Linked DNA regions of Sus scrofa. The protein of the gene in region 2 purifies or fractionates together with the protein of the main gene of each other region. This does not show direct contact. Links are inferred from orthologs where the notes say so. Each region holds a gene or a part of one and is shown on either strand. Other genes may lie near its edges.

Region 1 (6,565 bases), on a different chromosome or scaffold from region 2:
GCGGCCGCCCCTGCGCCCTCCGCCTGAGCCAGCTGCGTGCCGTGCTCGTGGCCGACCACCTGGCGCGAGCTCTTCACGCTCACAGGTGAACGGGGGCGGACTGCTGCGGATGGGAAATCCCGGCGAGGTGAGCCTGGCGCTTGGGCTGAGACTACTACTTCGCTTCGCAGGGTGAGTGTGCGCCTAGTGCCCGCCGTGCGGGACCCGCACATGCTGACCTTCTTGCAGCAGCTGCGGGTGGAATGGCCCGCGGCCTCGGGGAGAGCCAGGACTGTGACCGAAGCCCTGAGGAGCCGTGCACTTGCAGAGCTCACCCCTGCCCATGATTCGGGAGCCCTACCCCCAGGCGCCCTGGGCCAAGTGTGCCTGAAGGAGCTGGTGGACGAACGGGGCCGCAGAGCTGGCTATGACCCCAACCTGGACAGCTGCCTAGGTAGGACCCAGAGTCTAGCAGGGCCAGTAAGCTGGTGGGCCGCGCATTTCCCACCAAACTCAGGGCTGTGTGTTCTTTGCAGTGACGGAGGAGCTGCTTTCTCTGCTGGCTGAGCTGCAGGAGGCTGTGCAGCATTGGCCGGAACACAGCTCTCTAGGCCTGGTTAGTGACTGAATGCCCACCCTGTGAATCTCTGGCAAACTAAATGTCCTGTGTCCCAAGCAGTGATTGTCCTTTCCTCTAGGCTGCAGTCTCAGACACTGGTGCAGATGGTTGTGTGGTTGTACACGTGGTGAGTTGTGAGGAGGAGTTCCAGCAACAAAAGTTGGACCTGCTTTGGTGGAAGTTGGATGACCAGGCTCCTCTCAGACAGGTGGGTCAGTTATGGTGGAGCTCCCCACACCAACCTTAGAAGGTCCTAGAAAGGGTCCTGTTAGTTGATGGTTCCAGAAGGTGACACTTGATTGACTTGGGGAGATGACAGACTTGGTGAGTGAGTGGTTGTGTGCAGCAGATGCTGGGAGAAGGTGCAGTCTGGAGGCCTACCCCAGAGAATATTGATGAAGATAGGTTGAAGAGGCTGGATTGTGTCTTGAGGGGCTGAGTTTGAGACAGTGGCTCTGAGGCACAAAGCTGGGGTCATTCAGGAAACTACATATTTAGGTTCATTGAGGGGTCTTTTGCTGTAGAGTATCTTACTGCCAAGTGGCTGAGCCCCTGCTATCTTCCTGACAGAAGCACCTGGTCTGCGGCCCAGTGAAAGTAGCTGGTGCGCCAGGCACCCTGACTGCTCCCGAGTACTACGAGTGAGTGAGGCTGGAAGGCAGGCCAGCAAGCCAAGGTAGTTGAGGTGGGAGGACTCTGCCCACTGGCCCTCTGCTCACCCTTTTCAAAAACGCAGGCTCCGGCATATGCAGGTGTGCAAGGCCTCAGCACTGAAGTATGGCAAGGACCTAACACAAGGTGTGTTTGGGAGCCTCTTGCTGTGCTGTGGGTAGGGGCAGGTCACCTGCATCCCTACCCCTTGTTCCTTGCCTCTAGAGCCTGACTGACTGATCTCATACTTCCTCAGACCCAGCCTGGACAGAAATCTTCAGGGTTCTCTGTGTGGCAACCATTAAGTTTGAGATGCTCAGCACAGCCCCACAGAATCAGGTGAGCCTAGGTGCCCCCCAGGGCTGGCTGGACAGTGTGTGCAGTTATCCTGCTGTAGCTGTGCCTTCATTCCTCAGCTTCTCCTGGCCCTGGCTGACAACAGCATTTCCACAAAGGGCACCAAAAGTGGCACCTTTGTCATGTACAACTGCGCACGTCTTGCCACACTCTTTGAGGGTTACAGGTGCAGCGTGGAAAAAGGTCTGTACCCCACTTTCCCACCTGTGAGCAGTCTGGACTTCTCCCTGTTGCATGATGAGGTGAGTACCCCTGCTGGGTGGTCAGCACAAGGCAGGAAGCTTGGCCTTTCCCTCCCAGCACCCTTCTCCCCCACAGGGTGAGTGGTTGCTGCTCTTCAACAGCATCCTCCCCTTCCCAGACCTGCTGAGCCACACAGGAATGCTGGCCTGCACAGCCCCGGGGCTCCACATCACTGCACGCACGGAGATGGTGAGGCAGAGAAGACAAGGACACACCACACATTCTGTTTATTCTGGTTAGGGGCACAAAGACAGGCCAGTGACTTGGTCTCTGTCTTTAGGTTTGCAAGTTCCTGGTACAGCTCAGCATGGATTTCAGTTCATACTATAACCGGGTACACATCCTAGGGGTAAGTGCACAGCAAAGCGGGGTATGTGGGAGGGTTGCGGGGGAAGCAAAGGATGAGACCAGCAGGCCCTTTCTTTCCTCCAGGAGCCTCGACCACACCTGTTTGGTCAAATGTTTGCCCGTCTACAGCTTCTGCAGGCTGTGAGTGATGTGCTCCACACTGGGCTGGCCATGCTGGGTCTCCCTCCACTGAGCCACATCTAAGGCCACAGAGGCCCCAATGTCTGGGAATGTCCACAAAATCAACTGAAAAAAACAAGTATCAAAAAAAAAAAAAAAGCAAAAACACAACACACCCACAGATTTTGTTAAGCTACCTGGAGCCAAAATAAATTGCTTCTGTTATGACGTTTTATCCTATTGTGTGGAGTGGGGCACATTTCTTACTCTGCCCTGACAGCATTCTACTCACCTTCAGCTCCTGCTCTGAGGTCTGGAACCCACGGCTGCCGCCTCCTCCCCTCTAGGCACACTGGGCATGGGCACAGACAATTGGTCATGCTCCACTCTGTCTGTGAGCAGGCCCCATGCCCAGCACGCCGGCCACCACGGGACATGTCAGTCATACCAGTTGTAAACCTCAAGACCCTGACCCCCAAGAGCACAGCGATGGCCAAACTCGGGGCTCACAGGCCAACAGTCCATGTCGGCCACATCTGGTACATGGTACACTGTACTGTTCATAAAGGTGGGTTCCCCATGCCCCAGACGCCAGAAGGTCAACCGTTGGTCGATGGAGGCTGAGACCATGAGGCTTGGGCTTAAGATCTTGAGGCCTGTCACATGGGCAGCATGTGCACAGGGGACAGAGTATTCCTCCAGCACTTGCAGCTGAGGCAGCTGCTCAGCACCCCCCACAGCCTCTTCCAGCTCTGGTACCTCCACGGCAAGCACAAAGACATGGAGGGAGCCATCCTCACTGCCACTGGCCACGAGATGGCCCGCTGGTGTGGGCAAGGTGTGTAGGCTGTTGACACCACAGCTGTGAGCCTGGAGAGTCAGGCAGGGGGTGCCCAGCCCTGGAGGAAGAAGATAGTTGTCAGGATCCAGCCTGCCACAAAGGTGAGTGGAAGGAGCAGGGACAGCCACAGCTGCACTCCAGCTACTCACGGTAGGGAAGCCCAGGTTCCACTGGAGGCTCCAGGGCAGTGGAGCCATGGTCTAGCACGGTGGTAAGATCCCAGAAGGCCAAGCTGCCGTCGGTGGCTGCACTGCATAGGAACAGCCTCCTGGCAGCCGGAAAGGGAGGCTGGGTCAGTGACAGGGATGGAAAGCAGTGAGATCCACCCAACCCACCCAGGACCACATGCAGCCCTTCTTACCGCCGCTGATTGGGTGCCTCATGTGTGAAGGAGTGGACCTTGAGGACACACCGCTTGTGGTGGAAGGTTTCAGCCAGGAGCTGCAGCCGTTGTCCAGAATCCTGCAAGAGAAAGAGCCTGGGACGGAGGGGGAGAGACAACTAAGACCCCATTCTGGGCACCTATATATTCTTTGTTTCCCAGTCCCCTGGATCCCATGCTCTCACCTCACTGCCCCATCACTACAGGCTGCAGCCACAAGGGGGCCAAGGCCAGGCCGGTCAAACTCACATACAGCTAGAGACATGTACCTGCAGAGACAACACACAGCAGTCAGGTGGAGCCTAGGAGCAGTCACACAGGGCGTGCCCCACATGCCCCACCCCCATGCTCCTGTCCTGCAGTGCACATCACCTTGTCTCTGGATCCACCTTGATCATCCGGTGCCGATTTCGCTGCCGGTCCCAATACTCATCCAGCCGGTGGGATGAAAGGTGCATGACATGACAGGCAAGGTGACTTGGGGTGCTGGGGTCTGGGGTGACCATGAGGGTGAAGCAGTGCATCTCAGCCCGGCCCCCCGCAGACACCACATGGGCAGTCAGGCCAGGCTGAGGATCCTGTGGGCCACCTGGGGTGCCAGTGCCCCAGACAGCCACTGCACGTACCGAGGAGATATGGTTACAAACAGCTGTAAGCGCATGGGCTGAGCCTGTGGCTGTGGGGAGTGCCAGGACACAGACGGTAGTGTCTTCACTGCACGTGATCACGATGTCAATTAGGCCAGGCCCCTCACTTCCAGGCTCTAGATAATCAGGCTGAATGAAGCTGGGCACCCCGAATTCAGGCCCCAGGGTGATGGTACCCACACGCTTTACACAAGTGATCTCACGGCCATGCAGGCTCTCCCGGAGAATCACATGTGGCCGGGTGCAGCCACCCAAAGCTCGGTACAGCATGACATCCCCATCCTTGAGGTAGGCGAAGGCCATAGCAGACTCGGTATCAGAGAAGGCCCAGGAGCGATGCCCTCCACCACAGTTGATGATATGCAGCTTCTCATGAGACCGGGGGCTCCACACCACAAACTCATTGGCGTGGAAACCCAGGATGACCATGCTCCCATCAGTCACCATACGGAGCCCAGCCACCCAGTTCATGCCTCGACAGGACTTCTGCCTTAGGACAGGCTGGAGTTGGCCACCTCGCACAAAGAGCTGGTAGTAGGCACCATCACGCCCTGTTGTGTACACGTAGCCACCATGGCAGGTGACTGAGGTCACACCCTGCTTCCCATGCAGAGAAGGGAGGGAGGACACAGGGCCCCACTCAGCCAAGGCGTTCTCACCACCCTCATTGTTACCACCTGCTCCAAGTGCTCCAGCACCAACTCCAGCCTTGCCTCCAACCCCGAGATCCTTGAGCAGATCTGGTCGGGAGGGGAACAGCAACACAGAGCCCCGACGATCACCACACACCAGGAAGTCGCCTGGGGGTAGGAACGCACTGCATGTGTGCCATCTCTGCTTGCTCGGAGGTAGCAGGTACCGGCAACGTTCCTTGACAAAGATGGCCTTGCCAGAGGGCGCAGCAGAGATCTCTAGGCAAGCCACTACACCACCAGGGCCTGATGCCAGCAACAGGAGCTCCTCATAGCCACGGAGGGCCCAGCTCAGGCTGTGCACCTTCCCTTGGAATAGGGTCAGATCCACAGCTGCAGTTGGAGTGTTGATGGGGACAACCTTGACACGACCCTCCCCGTTGGCCATAGCACACAGTCCAAAGCCCTCAGGACCAGGAGCTGCCTCCAGAAGGCAGTAGGACTGGAAGCGCTTGTCCTCCAGCAGCTGTTCCCAGCACTTGACCTCGAGGTCATACAGGTACAGGGCCCCTGTATCAGTCACTGCCAGTACTCGCCACGAGCCAGCCAGTGTCACAGCCTTGAGGGCACCTGGCCTGCTATGGGACTTGAAGCAAAGAGCTGAGACCCCCGAACCCGGGTGCCCACGCCCTACCAGGTGCCAGAGCCGAATGCCTGAATCATCACCCCCAGTGATCACCCAGGCCTGCCTCTCATGGGCAGCTATGGCCCGGATCCCACGGCCCTGGTGGCCCCGAAAGGCCTGGAGGATTTCGCCTTCATGGCTCCATACCAAGCAGACACAGTCTTCCCCTGCGCTGATAAGGTAATTCTCCAGGAGCTTGACCTGCCAAACACGGGCACTGTGCCCAAAGCAGTGCCCAATATTCTGCACTCGACCCCCAGGCACCCGCAGGTCACCCACCTTCCAGATGCGAACACTTCGGTCTTCTGAAGCCGTGGCCAACAAGCCCTTGCTTTCCAGGTATGACATGCTGAAGATGACACCCACATGCCCACTGACCCGTCGGTCGGGGGCTACAGGCTTGTTGTCTATCAGAGCGGCTGCTGGGTACCAGACCAGGAGCTGGTTGGAAACGGCACCCGCCACTATGGTCAGCTCCTTCCAGGTGTCTCCAATCAGACAGGCTGAGGAGAGGGTGCACCTGTCTGTGCAGGGCACGTCCTGCAGGATGCACCCTACCACAGGGTCGTACAGCACTACTGAGTTGTGGCCCAGGGCCAAGGCCATGTTCCCCTCGAGCCAACGTGCATCCCAGATCCAGTCAGACAAGTTCCACAAGCCAGAGCGCCAGAGCTCCCGGAAGCGGCCCTGTCCCCAGCTAATTTTCACAATTCGGAGTCCCTTGCTCCCAAACACTGCCACCATGGCCTCCGAGTCAAGGTCTCCGTTGGGTTCTGGTCGCACCCGGAACCCATGGATAAGATAGTGGCCAAGCAGGTTCTGCACTCGTTTCATCATCCGCAGATGTCCGCCAAAATCCAAGGTGTACACGAGGACATCTGGCCCCTCACCTAGACAAAGGCAAAAAGCCACATAAGAACCCCTCGCCTAACTCTGATGAGCCATGAAGAAACAGGGAGTAGGGAAAATTCTCAGTATGTAGCTTATGAACCTATTAGGTTACTGCAAGTATGCTCAAACTGCAGACTTGAACCTTGGAAAATCCTGGTCTCAGCTTCAGC
Region 2 (6,734 bases):
ATAAACAAAACGTGGGAGTTCCCGTCATGGCTCAGTGGTTAACGAATCCGACTAGAAACCATGCGGTTGCAGGTTCGATCCCTGGCCTTGCTCAGTGGGTTAAGGATCCGGCATTGCTGTGAGCTGTCGTGTGGGTCACAAACGCAGCTTGGATCCCGTGTGGCTGTGGCTCTGGCGTAGGCTGGTGGCTACGGCTCCAATTTGGCCCCTAGCCTGGGAATCTCCATATGCCATGAGAATGGCCCAAGAAAATGGCAAAAAGACAAAAAAAGAAAAAAAAAAAAAAGAAAATGTGGTATATGCATTACGATGGAATATTATTCAGCCACAAAAAAGGAAACCCTGCCATTTGGGACTACATGGATGGACCTTGAGGGCCTTACGCTAAATGAAGTAAGTCAGAAAAACACAAACACTGTATGGGTGAAGGTGGTCAAGAGGTACAAACTTCCAGTTATAGGATGAAATGTGCAGCCCAGGGACTATACTTATCAATACCGTATGGTATATTTGAAAGTTGCTTAGAGAGTAAGCCTTTTCTTTTTTCGGCCAAACCCATGGCATATGGAAGTTCCTGGGCCAGGGATTGAATCCGAGCCACAGCTGCGACCACACAGGATCCCTAACCTTCTGCACCACAGTGGGAACTCCAAGAGAGCAAATCTTAAAAAGTTCCCATCACACACACACACACACACAAATGTAGCTGTGAGGTGATGGATGCTAACGAAACTTGTGGCAATCATTTTGTAATACACAGGTACATCATATCATGTACACTTTTAACTCACACAATCCTATGTCCATTATATCGCGAGAAAACTGGAAAATATATTATTATATTAAAATGAAACAACACTGGGATGCTGTAATATATGAACTTTTTAAAAGGAGTATATCAAATTATAAGATCTTATCTCAAAGTAGTGACCAATGTGAACAATGTTTTATAAGACACCCACAATGACTGTAACATAACGTTAAAAAGAAAAAAAAAAAAGTAACCGTGACCCATATTGGTGGGAAAGTTGCAGGCACTGCTTTCACTGTTGTGATGCGCTGCCAGCATTGAGGTTCAGGAATAGAGCTAAAATTTCTGTTCAATCAATAAAAACGTAGTTATTTCCCTGCAACAAGTTCACAGATAGCCCTGACTTCTATCAGGTTAAGAATCCCTGCTTTCAGGGTAAAGTGTGAACAGAATCAGGAGGACACCGCTGGAAAGATTTAGAGAGGAGGCAAGACCCCCCTCGGCGGCGCAGATGGACAGTCCGAGATGTTTCTTTCCTCGCTGTGTTTCTGCTGGTTGTTGCAGGTTCCTGCTCGGCGCTTGTGTGTTCAGGACCCGTTGATGAGCTACTTGAAAACAAGTTCATCAACTCAAGTTCTTGGTTTTCCTGACAGCGAAGAGCTTCCAAGTCCTTATCAGATTGCCAGCTAACGAAAGGTCAAAGTAAAAGGAAGTTTTAAAACAAAATATATTTCCCCACTGTCTTCTACTATAATCATTGTTTACTCAGCTACTGACATTTTTCGTGGAGTTTTTTTTTCCCTCTACTTTTATTGTGAACCATAACATGCGCACACAAAAAGGCATAAAACATATCTTGGGATGTCTAGTTCTCAACTGTGAATATACCAGGATTTAATGATCCCTTCTACAGCTGATGGATGTCAGGGCTGTATCTAGTTTGGGGGTGCTGCAATAATGCTGGCTAAGAACATTCTAGTATGGCATATGGAGAGTCCCAGGCTAGGGGCTGAACCGGAGCTACAGCTGCTGGCCTACGCTGCAGCCCTGAGGATCCAAGCCGCGTCTGCAACCTACCCCACAGCTCACGGTAACGCCGGATCGTTAACCCACTGAGCGAGGCCAGGGATCGAGTCTCAACCTCATGGATCCTAATCAGGTTTGTTAACCACTGAGCCACGAAGGGAACTCCTTAGTACTCATTTCTTAGAGGAACTGGCACACATGCAGCTTTAGCAGAAAATGCCTAACAAATTTCCAGTGGAAAATTGGCAACACCATTTTATGCTGCCATTGGAGTATATGTTAGGGTTCCAACTGCTGCATGACCTTCTAGATACTTAGAATGGTCAATCTTTTTAGTTTTAGCTTATATTTCTCTGATGAGCAGCTTTTCAAGTGCTTACTGGCCATATTGTCATATTTACTTTCCCTTATCGATTTGTAACTTTTTTTTTTAGGGCTGCACCTGCAATATACATTCCCAGACTAGGGGGTTGAATTGGAGCCCCAGCTGCTGGCATACACCACAGCCACGTTTGTGATCTACACAGCAGTGCACGGCAACCTCGGGTCCTTGACCCACTGAGTGGGGCCAGGGATTGAACCCACGTCCTCATGGATGCTAGTTGGGTTTGTTACTGCTGAGACACAATGGGAACTCCTACAGAAGCTTTTTTAACATCAAGGACACTGTATATAGGGATTGTAAATATCTTTTCCCGGGAGTTCCTGTTGTGGCTCAGCGGGTTAAGAAACCTAGTATCCACGAGGACGCAGGTTCGATCCCTGGTCTCTCTCCGTGGGTCGGGGATCTGGCATTGCCACGAGCTGTGGTGTAGCTGGGAGACGCAGTATGGATCGCGAGTTGCTATGGCTGTGGTGTAGGCTGGCAGCTGCAGCTATGATTCGACCCTGGGAACCTCTATATGCCTGGGAACCTCTATATGCCGCAGTGTGGCCATAAGAAAAGAAAATCTCTTCCCACCGTCGGTTGCCATTTCGTTTTTTTAAAGGTGTCTTTTTTTTTTTTTTTTTACTTATTTTAATGGAAGACTGCAGAGCCACTGCCAGAAAGGACGGCCTCTAACACAGTGTCCTGAGGATGATAGGCCCCCACATACAAGGCACAGTTCCGCCCCAGGGCCTTTGTATTTGCTAGTGCCTCTCCCTGGAATGCTCTTCCCCTAAACACACGGACTCCCTCCCTCGTCTCCTTCAGGTCTCTGCTCAAACAGTACCTCATGAGCCCTTCCAGGACAACTCACTTAAAAACTGCAAACTGCCAGAGTTCCCTTCATGGCTCAGCAGTTAATGAATCCAACTAGGATCCACGAGGATGCAGGTTCGATCCCTGGCCTCACTCAGTGGGTTAAGGCGTTCCCTTTGTGGCTCTGTGGTTAACAAACCTGACTAGGGTCCATGAGGATGCGAATTCAATCCCTGGCTTCCCTCAGTGGGTTAAGGATCTGGCGTTGCTGTGGCTGTGGTGTAGGCTAGTAGCTACAGCTCTGATTCAACCCTAGCCTGGGAACCTCCATATGCCACGCGTGCGGACCCTTAAAAAAAAACAACATGCAAACCGCCACCCTCTTTGATGAAGAGTTCTTCATCTCATTATCCTGCTCCTTCTTTTGCTAACCAATAGTATTTTTACACACTATACACACACACACGTGTTCAGACAGATAGTATTTCTAAGTGTGGGTGGAAGCCCCTGCATTCATGGTGTTACTCTTTTATTTATTTTTGTCTTTTTTGCCTTTTCTAGGGCCGCACCCGTGGCACATGGAGGTTCCCAGGCTAGGGGTTGAATCTGAGCTGTAGCTGCCGGCCTACACCACAGCCACAGCAACACCAGATCTGAGCCGCCCCTGTGACCTCCACCACAGCTCACGGCAACACCAGATCCTTAACCCACTGAGCAAGGCCAGGGATCAAACCCGCAATCTCTTGGTTCTTAGTCGAATTCATTAACCACTGAGCCACAACGGGAACTGCCACACTGTGTTACTCTTTACCTCCTTCCCTAACTAGAAGCTCTGAGGGCCGGGATGTTTGCCTGTTTTGTTCCCGCTCTATCTTCAAACTTTGAACAATGCCCAGCGCACAGCATGTGCTCAAGAAACGCTGACTGAGCGCCTCGATGTGTCAGATGCTGAAAGCAATTCCTAGCCCATGACATCGAGTGTTGTAGGAAAGGTTTGCTGGCCGAAATCCTATCAGTTGGCATAAAAATTTCAAAGGTAAAAATCTTCCTTGGTTTTTTTCTTAAAGGTGCCCGCTACTCCAACTCTCAGATAAAAAGGCAAGTTTACCTTAACGTGTCAAGGCGAACAATTCATTTCACTGTCTTCCACCTACCCAAGAAAAAGAAAAGGGACTCAGATACTTGGCTAAGCTCTTCTGTTCACTATGCCTGCTTTTACCCACTGATTTTTACGGTCATTGGGAGGCAGGGAAGAGAATTTTGCCCCAGAAACCAGTGATTTGGGGCAGAAAGAGGCACATGAGGAGGGGGTCGCTGTGGGTGCAGAGAAAAGGCACGGAGGGCCCTGGGACCGGGTCTCCAGACCTCAGAGGCCAGCAGGGTGTGGCACTGTGGGGCAGCCAGGGACTGGGGCAACACGGCCGCTGTGCTGACGGAGCAGTCCTGCGGGCGGGTCTCCTTGGCTAGCTGCCCCTTCTTCTTCAATGTGCAGGCCTCCTGGTACGGTGGTGAGATGGGGGGCTGCGTGGGTGGGGTGTACTTGTACTCTGAGCCGTCCTCTAGCTGCAAGGACACAAGTCCCGGAGATGGTGAGGACCTGGGAAACTAGGACAGCGCCCTCCAACCGCCCACCGCTGGCCAGGCACTTACGTCCAGTGGGTAGCTGCGGTCCGAATCATAGGCGCTCAGGTCCCCGCAGGTCACAAATGGCACAATGGTGCGGGTAGGCCCATCCAATTGGTTGAAATCTGGATCTGACCAACAGGGAGAGATGAGACAGGATGGGGCTGGGGTGTCTGGGACTGGTCGTGACTCAAGCGGTAGCCAGGATGAGTTACTGAGACCTCTCCCACGTGTCCACCAGCTGCTCTTACACGCCTTCACCAGAAACCCTTCATTTGGTTCTGATCACCTCCTCAGGGAAGCCCTCCAATCATGTGGAAACAGCACCCTCTCCAGCTCATTTTTCTCCCGCTGCACTTAATTCCATACCATGCGCTGCCTGGACTTCGTCTCACTCAAGGGCACTTGTCACGAGAGCAGCTCTGTGCCTTTTCCCTCTGGGGGCCAGGCTGAAGGCCCTCATGGGACAAAATTCCCACACTTGGGGGTGTGACCGAGTCTTCCTGGGCTAGAGAGTCTTCCTGGGCTAGAATCGCCTTAGCTGGGTGGAGTCTCCAGTGGGGCAGGACTCAGGATCCTCCCGGGACAGAATTCTCACCAGGTCCGAGAGTTCCCACGAGCGGACTGGGCTTGAGGATCCTCTTGGGACAGAATTCCCCCGAGGGGCAGGGTTTCCACCAGGGGGTGGGGCTAAGGGCCCTCCTGGGACATAAATTCCCTAAGGGCACAGACTCTCCCCAGGGATGAGGCCCAGGGCTCTGGCTCTCACCGTAAGAGTGGTCCAGCAGGGGTTTGGTCAGGTCTGGCAGGAAACCCGCAGGGGGGTCATAACCCTTACAGACAGCGAAAGCCTCTGTGGGGAGAAGGTGGAGTGAGGGGCCCCTGCCACCTCCAGCCGGTGTGGGATGCGTCCCCGAGTGTCACACCTCCCCCCACCCGGTCCCTCCACCCCACTGACCGATGCTGGAGTTCCGGCTGCTCCTGGGCTTGGCACAGAGCACGCTGGAGAAGAAGACACGCAGCTGGCTGTAGATCAGCGTCACATCCCGGCCTCGGAAGATCTGCGGGATGGGGAGGCAGGCAGAGATGGAGGCACGAGGGTGGTCTTCGGGGACCCCTCTCTATCCCCTACCAGGTTCCCTGAGGCTTACCTTGGCCACAAAGCAGCCCCCTGGCTTCAAGACGTGTGTGGCGATGTTCAGAGCCTGTGGGCAGGACAGGTGGCTAAGGCTGAGGTGGAGCCAGCCAGCCAGGAGGGGGCCAGACTGAGGCAGGGGCAGCCAGGGTTACTCACGGCTAGGAGGAGCTGGGCCTGCATATACTCATCAACATCGTGGAGGCCGGTTACTGGGGCAAGAGGAACAGTGTTAAGCGGGGGGCGTCCAGGTCTATCTTCCTGTCCCAGGGGTTAGAGCCCTAAAAACGCTTCCCAGGCCCTCTTATTGCTAAGGTTCTGCATGCAGGTGACTGTCTGCCAACTAGATGCATATGCTGAGCTCCTAACCTTCGGGCACTTGTTTTCATTCTCTCTCTTTTTGTCCGTTTAGGGCCACGCCCCTGGCACATGGAGGTTCCCAGGAGAGGGGGCCAAACTGGAGCTGTAGCTGCCAGCCTACACCACCACTCACGGCAATGCCGGATCCTTAACCCACGGAGCGAGGCCAGGGATTGAACCCTCATCCTCATGGATATGAGTCGGGTTTGTTAACCACCGAGCCACGACAGGAACTCCTTGTTTTCTTTCTCAAAACAACCTTAGGCACGAGTATCGTCATCATCATTTCTCCCTCCCGTCCAGACTGTTCCTCTTAACTTCAGACTCAGATCAGAACCAACATCTCAAAGTCGACACATCCAAAACCAAACTCCCGACCTTCCTGCCCAAAGCTGCTCCTCCCACCGTCTTCCCTGTCTCATCGGATCCTTGCGGTTGTCCAAGCCAAAACCGCTGAGTTACCTTTGACAGACAAAATACACACTGCCTCCTCCATGCTCTCCTCACAGCCACATACCAGTCACTAGCAAATCTCCTCAGCTCTACATTCTTTCTTTCTTTTTGGCCGCACCTATGCCTACAGCATGTAGGATACTCCTAGGCCAGGGACTGAACCCGTGCCACAGCGGTGGCCTGAGCTGCTGCGGTGACACCAC

Evidence for each region.
Region 1: the proteins of FTSJ1 (region 2) and WDR6 purify together in Homo sapiens (affinity purification with mass spectrometry; 3 studies listed by BioGRID and IntAct, with this or other methods). This does not show direct contact. The link is inferred for Sus scrofa from reciprocal best matches to the Homo sapiens genes FTSJ1 and WDR6.

The regions. Positions count from the first base shown.
Region 1 is NC_010455.5:31,646,860-31,653,424, reverse strand, and holds the end of WDR6 (WD repeat-containing protein 6), read right to left. Parts: intron 6,395-6,565; coding exon 3,913-6,394; intron 3,810-3,912; coding exon 3,726-3,809; intron 3,637-3,725; coding exon 3,520-3,636; intron 3,427-3,519; coding exon 3,308-3,426; intron 3,217-3,307; coding exon 2,756-3,216; 3' UTR 2,402-2,755; coding exon of another isoform or gene 2,130-2,401; 3' UTR 2,058-2,129; downstream 1-2,057. Other genes in the region: DALRD3 (DALR anticodon-binding domain-containing protein 3), read left to right, coding at 1-85, 171-433, 516-595, 678-806, 1,169-1,239, 1,335-1,396, 1,506-1,588, 1,666-1,848 and 2 more. UniProt on the Homo sapiens protein: Together with methyltransferase FTSJ1, methylates the 2'-O-ribose of nucleotides at position 34 of the tRNA anticodon loop of substrate tRNAs. Required for the correct positioning of the substrate tRNA for methylation.
Region 2 is NC_010461.5:42,614,288-42,621,021, reverse strand, and holds the end of FTSJ1 (putative tRNA (cytidine(32)/guanosine(34)-2'-O)-methyltransferase), read right to left. Parts: intron 5,931-6,734; coding exon 5,878-5,930; intron 5,789-5,877; coding exon 5,735-5,788; intron 5,645-5,734; coding exon 5,542-5,644; intron 5,437-5,541; coding exon 5,353-5,436; intron 4,715-5,352; coding exon 4,611-4,714; intron 4,524-4,610; coding exon 4,326-4,523; exon of another isoform or gene 4,111-4,325; coding exon 4,078-4,110; 3' UTR 4,069-4,077; intron 1,438-4,068; 3' UTR 824-1,437; downstream 1-823. UniProt on the Homo sapiens protein: Methylates the 2'-O-ribose of nucleotides at positions 32 and 34 of the tRNA anticodon loop of substrate tRNAs. Requisite for faithful cytoplasmic translation.